Drosophila melanogaster: one gene and its partner. The protein of the gene in region 2 interacts with the protein of the main gene of each other region in a pairwise test. Each region holds a gene or a part of one and is shown on either strand. Other genes may lie near its edges.

Evidence for each region. Proteins that work in one complex are often made in the same cells at the same time.
Region 1: the proteins of CG42495 (region 2) and Syx6 interact in a two-hybrid assay, tested with the Drosophila melanogaster proteins (one large-scale study listed by BioGRID).

What each region holds. Positions count from the first base shown.
Region 1 is NT_033778.4:11,216,904-11,225,487, forward strand, and holds Syx6 (syntaxin 6), read left to right. Parts: upstream 1-3,030; 5' UTR 3,031-3,420; coding exon of another isoform or gene 3,421-3,455; 5' UTR 3,456-3,477; coding exon 3,478-3,718; intron 3,719-4,024; coding exon 4,025-4,726; intron 4,727-4,880; coding exon 4,881-4,957; 3' UTR 4,958-5,435; downstream 5,436-8,584. Other genes in the region: CG9084 (uncharacterized protein), read right to left, coding at 548-577, 644-787, 851-1,260, 1,303-1,479, 2,180-2,264; CG7737 (uncharacterized protein), read left to right, coding at 6,696-6,780, 7,667-8,584.
Region 2 is NT_037436.4:18,662,779-18,669,868, forward strand, and holds CG42495 (uncharacterized protein), read left to right. Parts: upstream 1-4,582; 5' UTR 4,583-4,656; coding exon 4,657-4,801; intron 4,802-4,869; coding exon 4,870-5,015; intron 5,016-5,068; coding exon 5,069-5,206; 3' UTR 5,207-5,357; downstream 5,358-7,090. Other genes in the region: MYPT-75D (myosin phosphatase targeting subunit 75D), read left to right, coding at 1-548, 714-839, 901-976, 1,362-1,482, 1,546-2,042, 2,920-3,476; Capr (caprin), read right to left, coding at 6,256-7,090.

The DNA.
Region 1 (8,584 bases), on a different chromosome or scaffold from region 2:
TTGAAAATCACGTAGTTCTTCCTTATTTCAAATTGTTATCACACCAAGTTTTGAAGCGCAACTATTAACGGTGAATGAGAAATGACTTGCGCCCCTAGTTTTGTTTTAATTCTTTAAACAACGAGACCACGAGACTCATTTAATTGTTTCTTTTAATTTTGTATTTGACAGAAGAGAAACGAAATGATGAAAAAAAACGCTAACTGTAAATAATCAATATGTTGTCATATATGCATTAAGCGGTAGGTTAGATAAACAAACTACACAAAGTTGATAGATATAAATGAAATATTGTACAAACTGCTATGGCAAGCGCTGCAGCAAAATCTATATATACACATAGATATATATCTATATATTTGAATGTGTGTATGTGGTTAAACAACAAGAAAATGAAGTGATCTATTACATTATTGTAAAATATATCAAAAAACTGAGAAAAAAAAAAAACAAAACACAAACAAACATAAAATCTTATACAAAAAAATGACAAAAAATAAAGAAATCAATGTGAATATACAATGTTTTTTTTTATTGATTAATCACGTCAAAAGCGGGTTTGGAAGAATAGATATTCCTGAAAAACGAATACAAAACATTATTGTGGCAAATGATATATGTATATAAACTAGGAGCACAGTACCAGTAGAAAGGCTGATCCCAGTATCAAAGCCCGCTCCTTGGCGGTTAGCTTGGCGTCACTAAAGTATATATTTGTGGTGTACTGAGACTTGCTGGCGAGCCATTTGTGGTCTATGGAAGCCCTCATATTGCCTCCCGAATGGATCTGTAAGGGAACAAAAACACTATAATTGAATATTCTGTTCCGAATGTTAAAGCTACTACCAACCTTAAAATAACAATCTTTGGGCAAACTGAAGCAGCAGAATCCTAAACCGACAGGACCCTCTACACAGAATGTTAGTTGTCCTGTGCTTTCGTCTTCGATAAAGAACTCCGGCTGCATGAAGGTGGGCGACTGCACCACTTTACCCAGCAAATTACCAGGTGGTATCCAAATTTCTAGACTTTTTGCCTGGCAGCACATGGATCCCATCGCTAGTTTTTTGCGAAAAACCAGAGCTTCCTGGTGCGTTTTATCCAGCAGGTGCATCTGAAAGGGTCGACCAGCTCCCCAAAGTAGTCGATTTTTTTCTGTGGAACTCTCGTTGGCCGCGAAAATGGCATCACCCAGTGGAGATCGCACCACATATCGATTCTCCGAGGAGACGCCTGTTAGGGCTGCAAAGGGAAGACGAACTATTAGAAGCGATTTTAGCTAATTTTTGGGCTTGTACTTACCATCGTTAAGCTCAAAGGTCTGTTCAATATGTACGGACGGCAGATCTGCTAGGCAATCGTATCCGGAAAGTGGGATAAGCGTCCGGCTTCCCGTAACCGTGGCAATTGGCACTGGCAGCGGGATGCGTGGAGCCTCCGGCCTGGGTTGTGAGGTAATGCTGATATGGGAGTCATAAACTGAAGAAAAACAAACAAATCGTATATAGACCATTTTCCAATACGAGCAGAATCGTAAGGTTGTCCATATTGTTATCTTTGAACTAAGATTTTATAAACCTTTTCCATATCTTTAGGGTATTACAAACTTTTCCATAGATTGAATTTTGAAAGTTTTTAATATTTTAATTAAATTTAAATTTCATTTAAAGTTGTAGTTTTAAGATCATAATTTTACAGTGAATTTGAATTAAATAAAAATGGTTGTTGAACATTCTGCTAATAATAGCTCTGAGTAATAGCAATATTATTGAAAATATTTTGTGGTTATAACAAATCGTTTAGATTAAAACTTTAGTAGTTTTTCGATTTTTTCATAATCTTGTCACATAAATATTTTATTACTTTTCTTGGAATAGGAAAATGTTGGTATAGGATACAGCTAATATCATGGGTACGGTTTTACTATCGGATTGATCGCTGGGTTCGATCGTCCCAAACAAAGGCACTTGAGGAGTCGCAGACCATAACAAAACGCTGGCCGATAAGATATAGCCAACTTGTGGCCGCATTTTTGCGTCGAACTGTGTGACACACTCGCTCGCAACAATAATTAATCCGGTGCACTGCTTATCAGTTGGTAACAATTCGGTTACCCTTTTGCCAGGGTGATTCACTCGCTGTTTTTATTCGTTTTCTAAAGCCATATGCCCTAAATTACCTCTCGGTTCTGAGAGACTTGGCTGCTGGGCCACACGGATCTCACTGTCGTATTGCAAAGTGCGCACCGCGTTGTTTTGCAACATTTCGCCAGCACTTTTCAAACTTATTTGACGGCGGTCTAAATGAAATTGATAACGGTGGTCAGTGGGGCAGTAGCACAACGGAAGTTAAGTGCTTTGTGCCCCTCGCCTGGTCACACTTCCTGACTCAGATGATTTTAATACTCTATTACGAACGTTCTCATGTGAAATAGTAATAATAGCTTATTTATAGTGCTATTTTGTAAACTTTAATTCATGCGAATGTTGCAGGTTTTCAAAATATTCGTTTATGCTGCTCAAGCTGAATGTGGATAAATATATATTCAAATCCAGAGCTGCCACCTGATTCAAACTGTTTAGTAACGTATTTTCTGCACTTGCGATATATACTAAATTATCGCGGGATAAACGTGCTATCGCACTTGGGTCATACTAAGCCTTACGGTTTATTTTGCTAGCAGCAAAACAGAAATAAAACCTTTACTTAAATTTATTTATCAGAATTTGTCTCGTGTGAACTTGAAATTAAAGTCCGTCACCGTGTTCTCGGACCGAAGTTTGCTAAATGACGTGGAGACGAGCAGCAGGTGAGCGAGCGATGAAAATTGCAACAGTGCTGGCCATTTGGCCGACGATTTGTTGTTGTGGAATTTTTTGGCCAAAATTCGGGTTGTTTTCAAATCGGTTAGTCAAGGGGTTGGTAATCAAGGAACCAAAGTGCGCAGCCGCTGGAGCGGGAGCGGCGTAAACAAATGCCAGTGGGGTAGTGGTTCTCGGTGGGGGCTTAATCTCTGGAGCGCAAATAGCGACAGTGTTCTCTGGGCCATCGGTGGAACCAGCTAAGTCGGCGGAATCCACAAGAAATCGAGCGATAAGCGGCGGAGCGGGTCCAAGTGCAATAATCAATAAACGTGCTGTTCAAACATCGCTGCTAGGCGAAAGATAAAACCCAGTCGATTGTGAAATTCCTGCTATATAGAACGGATTGAAAGCAAAAATTTGCTCCCCATTTGCTTGCCTTTTGATGTAACTCCCACGAAGTGCTTTTGCTATTGCCAACTTGCAATTTGCCCCCTTGTACCTTTGGGGGGTGGTTTTCGCCCGGAAAAATCCATGAAAAGAACCGTCAAGTGCGCCACGCTGGTGAAAAACTGCTAGGAGTGTTAGTTTTCGTTTTGTGGCAAGAAGAGAACGCGGCATGTCTCTGGAGGATCCGTTTTTCGTGGTCAAGGAGTAGGTGTCCCCGATTTGGCAGATGGCCACATGCACTGCTGGTGGAAAGTGCTATCTTACTTATATCTCTGTTTTTTCTTTCATTTCCCTCCCCTTCCCCAACAGCGAGGTATTCAAAGCTCTGAACAAAACCCGCGGCCTCTATCTGCGTTGGCGGGAGCTGGGCGAGAACGGCGGAACGGAGGCTGAATGGACCACCACCGAGCTGCGTAACTCGCTACGGAGCATCGAGTGGGATCTCGAGGACCTCGAGGACACTATCAATATCCTTTTGCAAAGACCATTGAAAAATCAATTCGTTACCTGGTACTCATTTATCGAATTGCATTGTCTGTTTTATTTTCGCATAAAGAGGTTGAGATCCCATTTAAAATTGCTGAATATGCAATTTATTCGTGATTTAATTCGCTCGTTTATTAGTATTATACTAATAAACTGTACAGAACTTGTTTTTTTGGCACTATAATTGTAAAAAAAGAGTACTTGGTATCTTAAGGTCGGTAGAACCGACTTTCTAGCTCATCAGTCTCCTCGGTTTTCTCCTTAACCCATACCATTTTGACTCACACGCATCGTTGAGAAGAATCCAAGCAAGTTTCGGATCGACAACCGCGAACTCTCCAGCCGGCGCCACTTCATCGACAACACTCGCGATGAGGTCAAGCAGATGAAGGATAAGATGAGCCTGAACCGGAGCCGGGACAGAGACATCACCGCACACCAGCCGCTGCTCGACAACGATCGCCACAGCCCCAATCACAATCATTCCATTGCCATACCCAATTCGAATTCCAACTCCAACGAGTACCATCAGCATCCACACAACGATCGCACGTACCTCGTGGAGTGTCCCAACGGCAACTCGCTGATCAATAGCGGCAGTCAGGTGGCCAATACCATAGCTGGGACCATGTCGGCGGCAGCGGCAGCAGCATCCCGCCACAGCGGCACCAAGTACTCCAAGCTGGAGAACGCCCTGGACAGTCCCAGTCACTATGGGCAGACGCATCACGGCGGCATGGACAGTCCGAGTCATAGGTACGTGGGCGAAACAGTGTCCATACAGCAGCGTATGATCCAGGGACAGGATGAGCAGCTAGACATGATCAGCGATTCGATTGGTACCCTCAAGACGGTCTCGCGGCAAATTGGCGTTGAGCTCGATGAGCAGGCCGTCATGCTAGACGACTTTGGGAACGAGTTCGATACCACGGAGTCCAAGTTGGATACGACCATGAAGAAAGTTGCCAAAGTCTTGCACATGAATAATGGTGAGTGGTGCGGCACTTGTGGTATTCAAGGACTATTTTGATTGAAATATTAATGAAGAGTAAATGCTTCAGTGAACCACAATCAAAATTACCCATTGAATACTTTTGTGACTTCTGATTCCTAATTCTTAACTGTATCCATCTTCTTTCACAGATAAACGACAGTGGGCCGCCATTCTCATCCTATCCGGACTGTTATTGTTTGTGATAATTTTGTTTATTATTTTGTAATTGCTTTCGTTGTTCCCAAATCGTTTATATTTAGTGTAAATTAGATTTATTTATGACTTAGCTTGCTTTTGAATTCGGGCTCTTAATTACAATTCCATGTAAACTCCCTTGCTGTATATACACGGAAACATTTTAACCTGATTTATTACCAGCCGCCTCTCTCTATATATATATAATGTAATTCCAAAGCTACGGACAAATGATCATGTAAAGTCAATGTAGGCGGGTAATAAAAGATAACTAACTACTTACATATAAACCAAGTGCTCCAGAGTTCTGTCATTCCCAATTTGGCCAAAGGATACTGCAACTGTAAGCTGTATATACATCGAAGGATATATCTGCATATATATACATACAAACAAAATGGACCTACCAATATCAAACGAGTTATTTAACGAAGAGTCTTAGGAAATTTCACTAACCAAATCTAGCAAAAACTTGTATGCAATTGAGTAAATATATATACTTATAAATTAAATTCCTAATTTAAAGCCAAATGAGGTACTTCTTACGGGTCACCTAGAAATACTGTATGAGTGCACAGAGAGAAATTGTATACATATACAAAAATTTGTTCGCTATTTTGAAAGCCTAAATTAAACAAAAATTGGAAATACAAGCTTTCAAATTTTTTAATGTTTTTAAGGATAGTAGGATTAGTCAAGATGTTATCTTCTGATAGATCAATGATTTGGAAAATGGTATTTAATACCAAATTTTTCTCTGTGCACAAGGAGAGGGTATCAGGCCCCTTCTCATGTTCTCTCTGCGCCCCAAAACCACTCGACAGCCCACTCGATTTGCCCACTCACTCAGCTGTGTTGCATGCTTTTGCCCGGAGCTTTTTGGCGAGCTTACAGTCTGCGCACAGTGGCGCAACCAAAGGGGTATCTTCGAAAGGCTTGAAACATAACCCCTACGGGGAATCCGGACTACGCCACTGGGTCACAGCATAAGCACACGGGCAGAGCGGCACGTTTCCATGTGATGTTTTTCGGGTTTCGGCATTCAGTGTTGTTTGCCTTTTCCGCGGAGCTGGAGTTTTCCCAGCAGTTGGCATATAGTATATATATATATCTCCTGATATTCCGGTAGAAATGTTCAATTGTTGAATTACTTCGGCTAAGCGGCATTCAAAGTTATTTTGGTGAGTGACAGTGCGCAGTGAAGTGAACATACCCACCCATTATCACCCCCAAATATGCAGTAACCCAAAATTCGACTTCCTCTCGGATGTTTGTGGTTGGTTTTCCTATTGTGTGCAGTTTTTGTTGCCGCTGAAAACCTTGAGCATTTTGTTGGCCAAAAATATATAAAATCAATGTCAAACGGCGGAAGATGGGATACCGCTTCCATTTCTTTCCCCCCCCCCCCCCACTTACTGCTCTTCGTGGAAACACTCAGATTTCAGTTGACCGCCAGGTAAAACCAGCTGGTCCGGTTGGCTAGATACTCCTTCTGGGATTTTTCCTCCGCTTTCCCTTTGCTGCCGTGGCTATTAATAAATGCATGTGGCCAGAAGAAGCGAGTGAACATATTTCAGACTACATGTGTTCTTGGTGGCCGTGTGTTTTCCTTTGGACGCCAGTGTGTTGCTCGTGGTTTTCATTGCTGGGTGGGGGGAGCTTTTTCGAAACTCTTATCAAAAGTCGGATTCGCGGGCAGGGATTCGTTCGTTATCGAAACAGATGAGCGAACATGCCGTTACTTTTTAATCAAAAGACGTGTGTAGTTTATGTTGTACGGAAAGTGGACGGTAATAAAACTCAAGTGTCTGGAATTGCAATGCACCATTGCCATAAGCAAATTTCCAATGCACAGTAAGCAAAAATGGCAAAAAAAAACACAAAATTAATTCTGTTGGTGAAAATATCATGTTATATATCAGCAAATTACCCGCACAGACTGTTGTTTATGTATATTATACGATAAGTTTATTGCGAAATCAATTTACAATGCTATTTTTGAAAGTGAAAGGGAAATTGAAAAGCCATATCTGTGAAAGCAAAATGGGAATTTTGAAAAGCAAATTTCCTACAACCATAAGAATTTTTAAAAGGGCTTGTTTTATTCACTTTAACATTTGCAATGGATAGTAAAGCTAACGTATTCACGTTCTGAGATTTTAGGCATGACTGCGAATAAGTGATATTGTATTACAATTTACACAGTTTTAACGCCAAGCATTTGTAAGCTTACTGTTGCATAAAATTGAAAAAAAAATTTACAAATTTTTGAATAGCTTGCAATTTTGAAAAATGCATCCAAATATAATTTTCTAAATATTGTGTGATTAAAGGAAACCATAATGCTTACTGTTGCGTAAAATTAAAAACCAATTTTACAAATTTCTGAATAGATTGCTATTTCGAAAAATTCATCCAAATATAATTTTCTAAATATTGTGTGTTTAAAGGAAACCATAATTAAATAATGCTTACTGTTGCATAAAATTGAAAAACAATTTTACAAATTTTTAAATAGTTTGCAAGTTTGAAAAAATCATCCAAATATAATTTTCTAAATATTGTGGGTTGAAAAGGGAACCATACTTAATGTGCTTTTAAGTATACCAGATTTTTTTCAAGTGTACGCACAATTGCCCACAACCCACTTACTCACACTCTAGCACATTCGAACTTATGGTGTTTATTATTTAATTTGCTTTTCTCCTGTTGCTCTGCTACCCCTTTATTTCCAAACCAGATATTCAGTTACCCGGAATGAGTGGCGCACAGCGGAATCAGGATCGCAAGATCGTTGTCATCGGAGCAGGAGCCTCGGGTGTGGCCTGTGCCACCAAACTGCTGGAATTGGGCTTTCAGAATGTGCTCGTCGTGGAGGCGGAGGATCGTCTAGGTGGCCGCATACACACTATACCCTTTGCGGACAACGTCATTGATCTGGGTGCCCAATGGTGTCATGGGGAACGGGACAACATTGTGTACGAACTGACACGGAAACAGGATGAGGAGCTGCTGGAGTCGACGGGTCCGGTCTACGAAAACTATGAGTGCGTCCGCTCCAACGGAGATGTGGTACCGGAAGAGGTATCTAGTCGCCTGAAAGCCATCGTCGGGGATTCACTGGTCACCCGGCAACTGGAGCTGCGTCACTGCAGCGGTTCCTTGGGCAGCTATCTGACCAACAAGTTTTACGACACTCTCCGGCGTCCGGAAAACTCCGATATAGACGCAGAGGTGGCCAGTGAGTTCTTTGTCAACTATCAGAAATTCGAGAACTCCGTCGAGGCCTCGGATACGCTAGAACAAGTTTCGGGACGAGGTTACCTGGACTATTGGGAGTGCGAGGGCGATATCCTGCTAAACTGGAAGGACAAGGGCTATGTGGAGCTTCTACGGCTTCTCATGCGCTCCAGGGAGTTAAATGTGGAGCATGGAGTTCTGGAGCAGCGTCTCCTGCTTGGCACTCGTGTTGTGAAGATCAACTGGAATCGGAACGACGGACGCGTGGAACTTCAAATGAGCAATGGAGAGACCTGTATAGCTGACCATGTGGTGGTCACGGTTTCATTGGGAGTTCTCAAGGATCAGCACCTTCGGCTATTTGAGCCACAGCTTCCAGTAGAGAAACAACGTGCCATTGACGGTTTGGCCTTTGGAA
Region 2 (7,090 bases):
GGCACGCCAATGGTTCGGGCACGTTGAGCGGCAGGCGGCACATATCCTTCGAGAACAGCGTGGTGCTCCTGGAGGCGGCATCCCGGAACGACATGCCCGAGGTGGCCGCCCTGCTGCAGCACGGAATCACGCCGGATGCCGCAAACGAGGATGGACTGACGGCGATGCATCAGGCGTGCATCGATAACAACGTCGAGATGCTGCAGCTGCTGCTGGAGTACGGTGCGAATGTGGATGCGCAGGACAGTGATAAGTGGACGCCGCTTCATGCGGCTGCCACCTGCGGCCACCTCGAGCTCGTCCGCATCCTCATCCGGCACGGCGCCAATCTGCTGGCCGTCAACACCGACGGCAACATGCCCTACGACCTGTGCGACGATGAGAAAACCTTGGACTTCATCGAGGGCGAGATGGCTCAACGGGGCGTGACCCAGGAGCTCATCGACGAGACGCGCTCCTCCACGGAGCGGATTATGCTGCGCGACCTAATGGAGTTGGCGCGCACAGGAGGAGATTTGGAGGAGCCGGACTACCAGTGTGCAACGCCGGTAAGTGGCGTCTTCTTTGAGGAACAAAACGTAGGAATTTTGATCCCAGAAAGAAGCAAATAAAACTTAATTCAAAGAATAATTCCTACACAAAAAAGAATCCACAATTCATTAAATCCTCACTTATTCCCTGTGTGCAACATTTAACTTATCTCAATTGTTCAGCTTCACATAGCTGCTGCGAATGGATACGTCCGCGTTGTGGAGTTTTTGTTGGAGCAGCATGTCAACGTGGATGCCATGGACAAGGATCTGTGGACACCGGTGCATGCCGCCGCTTGTTGGGGTCATGTAAGTGAAGCCTCGAAGCCGAAAAATGGGAATAATAATTTTAAATATTTCCTTCTTTCAGCTTGAGGTGCTGGAGATGCTGGCCCAGTGTGGTGCTGATCTGAATGTTCGCAACAAGGACGACGAGACTCCTTCAGGTGAGAATATGCGAAAAGGTTGCGGCACTGAATCAACGGTTATCCGGCTAGAGCAAAATAACCATGAATATGAAATTGAGCTATAAATTGTTGTTAATGCGACACGGAAAATGTGTAAATCTAGACTATTTGTAGTAGGAGTAGGAGGAAAGCGCTCTCAGGTGTGAAGAAAGATTGCATTAATTTTTTAGCTTGGCAGGATCAACGATTTATAATGGCTAACTCGAAAAAGTGTTACCCATTTCCGTAAAGTTCCTCCTAGCTCAGTATTTCAAATAAACACATATAGTACATACGTTCATTTAGATGTTAGTTGCCATAAACATAAGAATACACTTAAACGTTTTAACTGGATATTAACAAATCAATCCATCCGCCTTTGTAGACATCTGTGAAGATCCCGAAATCAGGGAGCGAATCGAACAGCTGAAGACGGAGCAGGAGAGCAAACGACTGGCCGAGGCGCAGCGACGACGCGTTCGACGCTCACAGAGCAACAACACAAGGCATTTACATAACATTTATGAGCCATTAAACATAACCATTAAAACTAACTATGCTTTCCACAGAGCCCAATCAGTGCGACGCACTAGTTTGCGAGACAAAACGCTGACAACCAAAAAGGATGCCGTCGAGGAGACCCGGCTGCGTCTGCAGGCGCAGGAGGCGACGGACTCGGAGGCTCCCTCATCGGCAGGGGATCCGCTGACCAATGGCTATGGTTACGGAAACAACAACGGAGAGAAGCGACCCTCGACGGGCAGTTCGAATGGCCAACCACTGCCGCACTCCAAGTCCGCCGATGCGCTGGATAATGCCACCGCCGCTTTGTCGGCCAACGCCACACATTCCTATCCGTCGCGCCGTCCACCGGATGGCCGGGAAAACGATGAACTGCTACGCCTGAAAGCTGCAGGTGCTGCGGGAGAGATGCAGCGAGCCACCTCGGCGGCGGCCGTCATTCTCACCGAGAAGGGTACGGCGGCCAGTGCCGAGGCCGTTCAAATCCAGTCGTCGAAGGAGGCTGCCAACGGCAAGATCAATGTCCAGGTCACCGTCCTCGTGGGTGAGTCAAGCGCCCTTGGCCACGTGTCAGGCTTGCTTCCGCTTTCTCCTTTCAACCAAAGCCAACCATTTACTCAAGCACCCCATCCAGACGCCACCTCCAACCATCCTGTTTGGCTCCCAAGGAGCGTCAACGTATCACAAGAGTTCTGCTTAAGCGCCATTCTGTCCCCGTGTCAATGTCAATGTTTAATGTTTATTTAACGACTCTACTAAAATGGAAATGAAAATACTTCCAACAAGCAAGCAGAGCTAACAGCATGAGTAGACTATAGAATGACGAATGCCCTGTAGGAAATGATAATCGATATCTTGGTTTGAGATTTTTAATAGGATAGCTTCGTGAGATGCATAGCTTAGTTGAGATATATTTTATGGAAATGACAGTCATTGTTGTAGTAAGATACTTTTTATTTCATTATGTTGTAAATATGCTTTGTAAATGACTTCTTTATTTAAATGCCTAAAGTGGAATAGCGTAAGCATATATTACTATTTATGTAAATTATTGCCATTTTAATAGCTTACTACACTAAATGGGTTTTCTGATACTAGAAATCGTACTTAGAAAACAGGGGAGCATGGCTGCAATAAGCATTAGCATTTGACTCGCATGTAACCTCCATCCCATCTACCCGATCACTCCCAATTGGTCAATGGGTATCTGCTAACTTAGTTCTCGGGAAAAGAAGAGAAGAAAAGTAAAATAACATTTGCTTGTTTCCGTTTCATTCTTTTTTGTTGTCGTTGTTGTGCCTCGTTTCGCCCGTTCTGTGTCGTCTGCCTGCCCGCATCATCATCAACAATAAAAACAACAACCACCGCACCACTAAACACCAAACACACCCAACGCCTTGCCAAAAACTTCCAACATCCAGACACCAATAGCACGCACCACCATCAGCAACATCAACAGCAGCAGCAGCAGCAGCAGCAACACCACCACCAGCAACACGTACTGCTGTTGCAGCAACACCAGCAGCTTCAGCAACATCAGCAGCAACAGCAACAGCAGCAGCAGCAGCAGCATGTTGCCTTGGATGGCTACAGCGCCACATTGGCCAATTTGAAGAAGCAACGCTCGCTTTCACGCACCGCCAATGTCCTCAATACTTTCGAATTGTCATCCCAAACAGCTAGCAATGCCCATCCAATTGCAGCAGCTAATGCCACAACAACTAATGGTTCTGTTTTAGGAGCCGGCGGCAGCAGCAGCAACAACAACAACAACCTGAGCACCAGCAACAACAACAACAACGGATCCGCACCGATCTCGACGCAGCCAACATTGGGTCACATGGGCGCGGGAAGCGTGCTATCCGACTTCGAGGGCTCCTCGCCGGCGGGCAGTTCGCTGAACAAGTTCAGCGGCATCACTGGCGACGTGGTCACCGATAGCACCAGTTCCAGTCGCAGGTGTTGCGTCCTGATGTAGAAACTTAGCGAACTACTAGAGTCACAGGGTATTAGAGCAGCCAGAATTGTCAGAGGGATAGGCCATTTGTTAAATGGCAAGAAAAAAGTGTCTTTTTATTAGATTAGCCGTATTCAGTGAGTGAATTGTTGAATGTTGATTACACAAATGCATGTTGGTTTTGAGAACGGGGTTCGATTCTGTGAGCTCCTAGATAACGGCTGAAAGTCGTTGCATTTTCCTAGCAGACACAACAACACACTAAAGACACACACAACCAATTATACGAAACAAATTTATACAAATATACAACCATATGTATACATTTTAAAGAATATTAAAAGAATTACGTATAAAATAATTGTGAGCAGTTTACCTTAGGCGATATATAACAACTAACTAAATCAAAATGAAAAAACATCAAAAAATATTTATATAGCAATGCTAAGTAAGAACCTAACTTAATAGATTTGCTTGGAGTGCATTAGGAATATCTGTGTTTCCGTGTGTGAGTGTTACAACCGAAACAGGCGAAGTATTATGCAACAAGTAAATATTTAACTAAATATATAGTACGATAGCAAAATTGTAGTTAAACCGTGACAGCAAAGTAAAGCAAAGCAATGAGACGAAATGCATAGCACTCAAGCAATTTCCACATATAAGTGTCTAAATGTTTGAATTGAAGGAATGTTAATAATGCCAGGCGGCATAGAGATTTATTTTTTAATGCAACTACTTTGCTCTGCGTTATGTAAGTTGAGTTTTGTTGAGAGGTACAAGAATATATGTATTATTTATGTAGCAGCGGTCTTTGTATATAAACCTACACAATTCCAAAAGATGCAAAAACAACGCGCAATTAGCAAATGAGACTTTTTCGATGAATGTCAAGGCATTAGCTGAACGTTTTGTAAAATAAACAAATGAAATACGAAAAAATTACACACAAATTTGATTTGATTTTGCGCCAGTTAGTTTTTTATATTCCTGTGCTTATATTTCTTATGAAGAATGAAGTTGAAGTAAATATCTACTCTTTTAAATCTCGCGCCAAGGTGCTCCACCTGGCGGGATTTTAATGAACCGCAAGCTTGTCATATGGAAGTAAGTTGGCAGCTTTGCGCATCAGCTGTTGCCTCGTTCGACTTTTGTTTACATTTTTATTGGTTTAAACTTATAAGTTTAAAGATCTAACCTAATGGAATCACTCGCAAAATATCGATACAGTTTGGTGGCTGGCTCCTTCGCAGCTGCAGGAAGCTTTTTCGGAAAACTTCCCAGCCACCTGAGCGCCCAAAAACTACTGAATACTTCGCAAATAAATGAAGACTTTTCTTATTTAGGCAAGATTGTGATTTCTTCAAACAAGCAAAATGTTTATAAATTTATAAAATTTTATTTTATTTATTAGAAATAGCATTACTTCAGCTGCTGCCACTAGTGTTAATGGTAACATGCAACGTTTGCAACTTGCGTTTCTTTTTGAAGGCCCTGCAAATGACTGAACAAACTTTAACGTGCGTCGTTTTAACTGCCGCTTCGAATTATGTCTTATCGGTAGGTGATCCACCGATCTATTTGTTCAATTATGATTACTGTTCGTTATATAGTTTGTCCTAGGTGCGCTTGTTTATCGGGAGCCACTGACAGTACTATCTGGCATCGGAATAACTCTCATTCTGGCTGGTCTTTGGTTTCTTTGCGACGGAGGAACAGTCGAGTCCGAAAAGCAGGACAAAATGGAATAGTAGGAATGGGATTTGCTTAAGATTAGCTTCTTTTATACACATTTTTCATTTGCCATATAACTTTCTGAAGCAGGGATAAAAATAGTTAAAGAAACTTAATTTTCCATTTGTAACTTTAAAATATAAAAATGTTGGGAACCCCAATTAGTCCAAAAAAACGAATGGTTTATATACTTTTGTTTAATGTATGTACTGTTTTGCAAATACATAGTTTTCATTTCATTTATAATGCACTGTTAGTGTGCACGCTTCTTCATTCACGCGGCAATAATTACAACTATTATGTTTTACGTGGTTTTGTATTTTTGTTTTCATCGTTTGTGTGTAAAAGTTTGGCAGAACAAAAAAAGGTGTTGAAATGGGATAGAGCATGACAGTAAGAGCACAAACTATAAATATATTTATCCCTTCGTTTATATATATAGGTAATAGTAATTAATTTTTATAATTCAGAATCGTTATTTAATTGCTAAGACGTATAAATACTTTTTATATTCTTTCTCTCGACATCTGTAATCATCAATCAGCTTCAACGCAGCCAAACAGACAAAAAGTAAAATCAAGCAAGAAATGGCAGATCCAAGTTACATACAAGTTTTGCCCATCTGTCGTTTGTTTTCCTTGGACGAAGTAGTGTTGTGTCCTGTCCTATCCTGTCTGGGAGTTTTAGAAACCCTTGGAGCGCTTACTTTCCTGTATTTAGTTGTAATTCTTTCGTGTTTCTAACAACTATTTTGTTTTATTATTAATACATTATCGAATAAACCAAAATCAAGGGAAATAGGTATAAATCGTATTGAAAAATGCGCACGAATTGATTTGTGTGTCGGCTTCATTTTCGATTCCCTAGTTGCGTTATAAAGGATTCTTTTTGATAGATTTCCATTTCTTATGGTTGAGAGTGGTTTGCGTAACAATAATTGTACGTCTACGTGGCCATTACTTGCATGTTGATGATTGGTTTCCTTGTTTTCTGTATGGAGGTTGTGTTTATGGTTTGCATGAATTGTATGTGTGTTTTGTTTGCGGGGTTAATACGTATTGTATGCTCAGTTTTTGTTCTCCAGCCCGAGTGGCATGCGTTGCGACTGGTTCTGACGGTTTATGTAGCCACCACCACCACCTCCCTGGTTGCCCGCTCCGCCACGACCACGATCGCCCATGGGCCTGCCGCCGCCATACGAGCCATTTACATTACGCTGCTGGTTGCCACCGCGCTGGCCTCGATAGCTTCCACCGCCGCCGCCGGAGGATTCGTAGCGCGACTCCTTGTTGTAGGTGCCACCGCCACCTCCTCCGTTCTGGTAGTAGTTGTTGCCTCCACCATTGCCCGACTCATTGTTGCGGAAGTACACACCGCTCGAATTGCCCGAATTGCGTCCGTTCGTGTTAGATGAGTTGCCGTATTGACGCGACCGGTAGTTGCCCCTGTCGCCGCCGTTGCGCCGCTCGTCACCTCGCCCTCCCTGATCGCGATCCCGGTTATCCCTGTCTCCGCCACGACGCTGATAATTGCCAGAGTTGCGGCGTCCGTCTCCTTGCGAGTTGTTCCAATGGTTGTTACTCTCGTTGTTATCGGCATAACCGCTATTGCCTCCGCCAGTGCTGTGGTCCCTGGGCGTGGCCCACTCCTGCTTGTGGCTGGTGTTGCTGCTGCCATTGGAGGCGGCGCTACTCATGGCATTCATCTCCGAGCTCCACTTGGTTGGCGGTGCCGGTGGCGTGGCCTGGGTGGTCTCGCCTTTGAGCACATTCGTCAGTGCTGCTGTGGCGGCAGCATTTGTATCATTATTACGGGCATGCCATTCATTGTTCTCGACATCTCCACCAGCACCGACACTCGAGGAGCTGTTCACAGATGACGGCTCATCCAGCTGCTGTAGA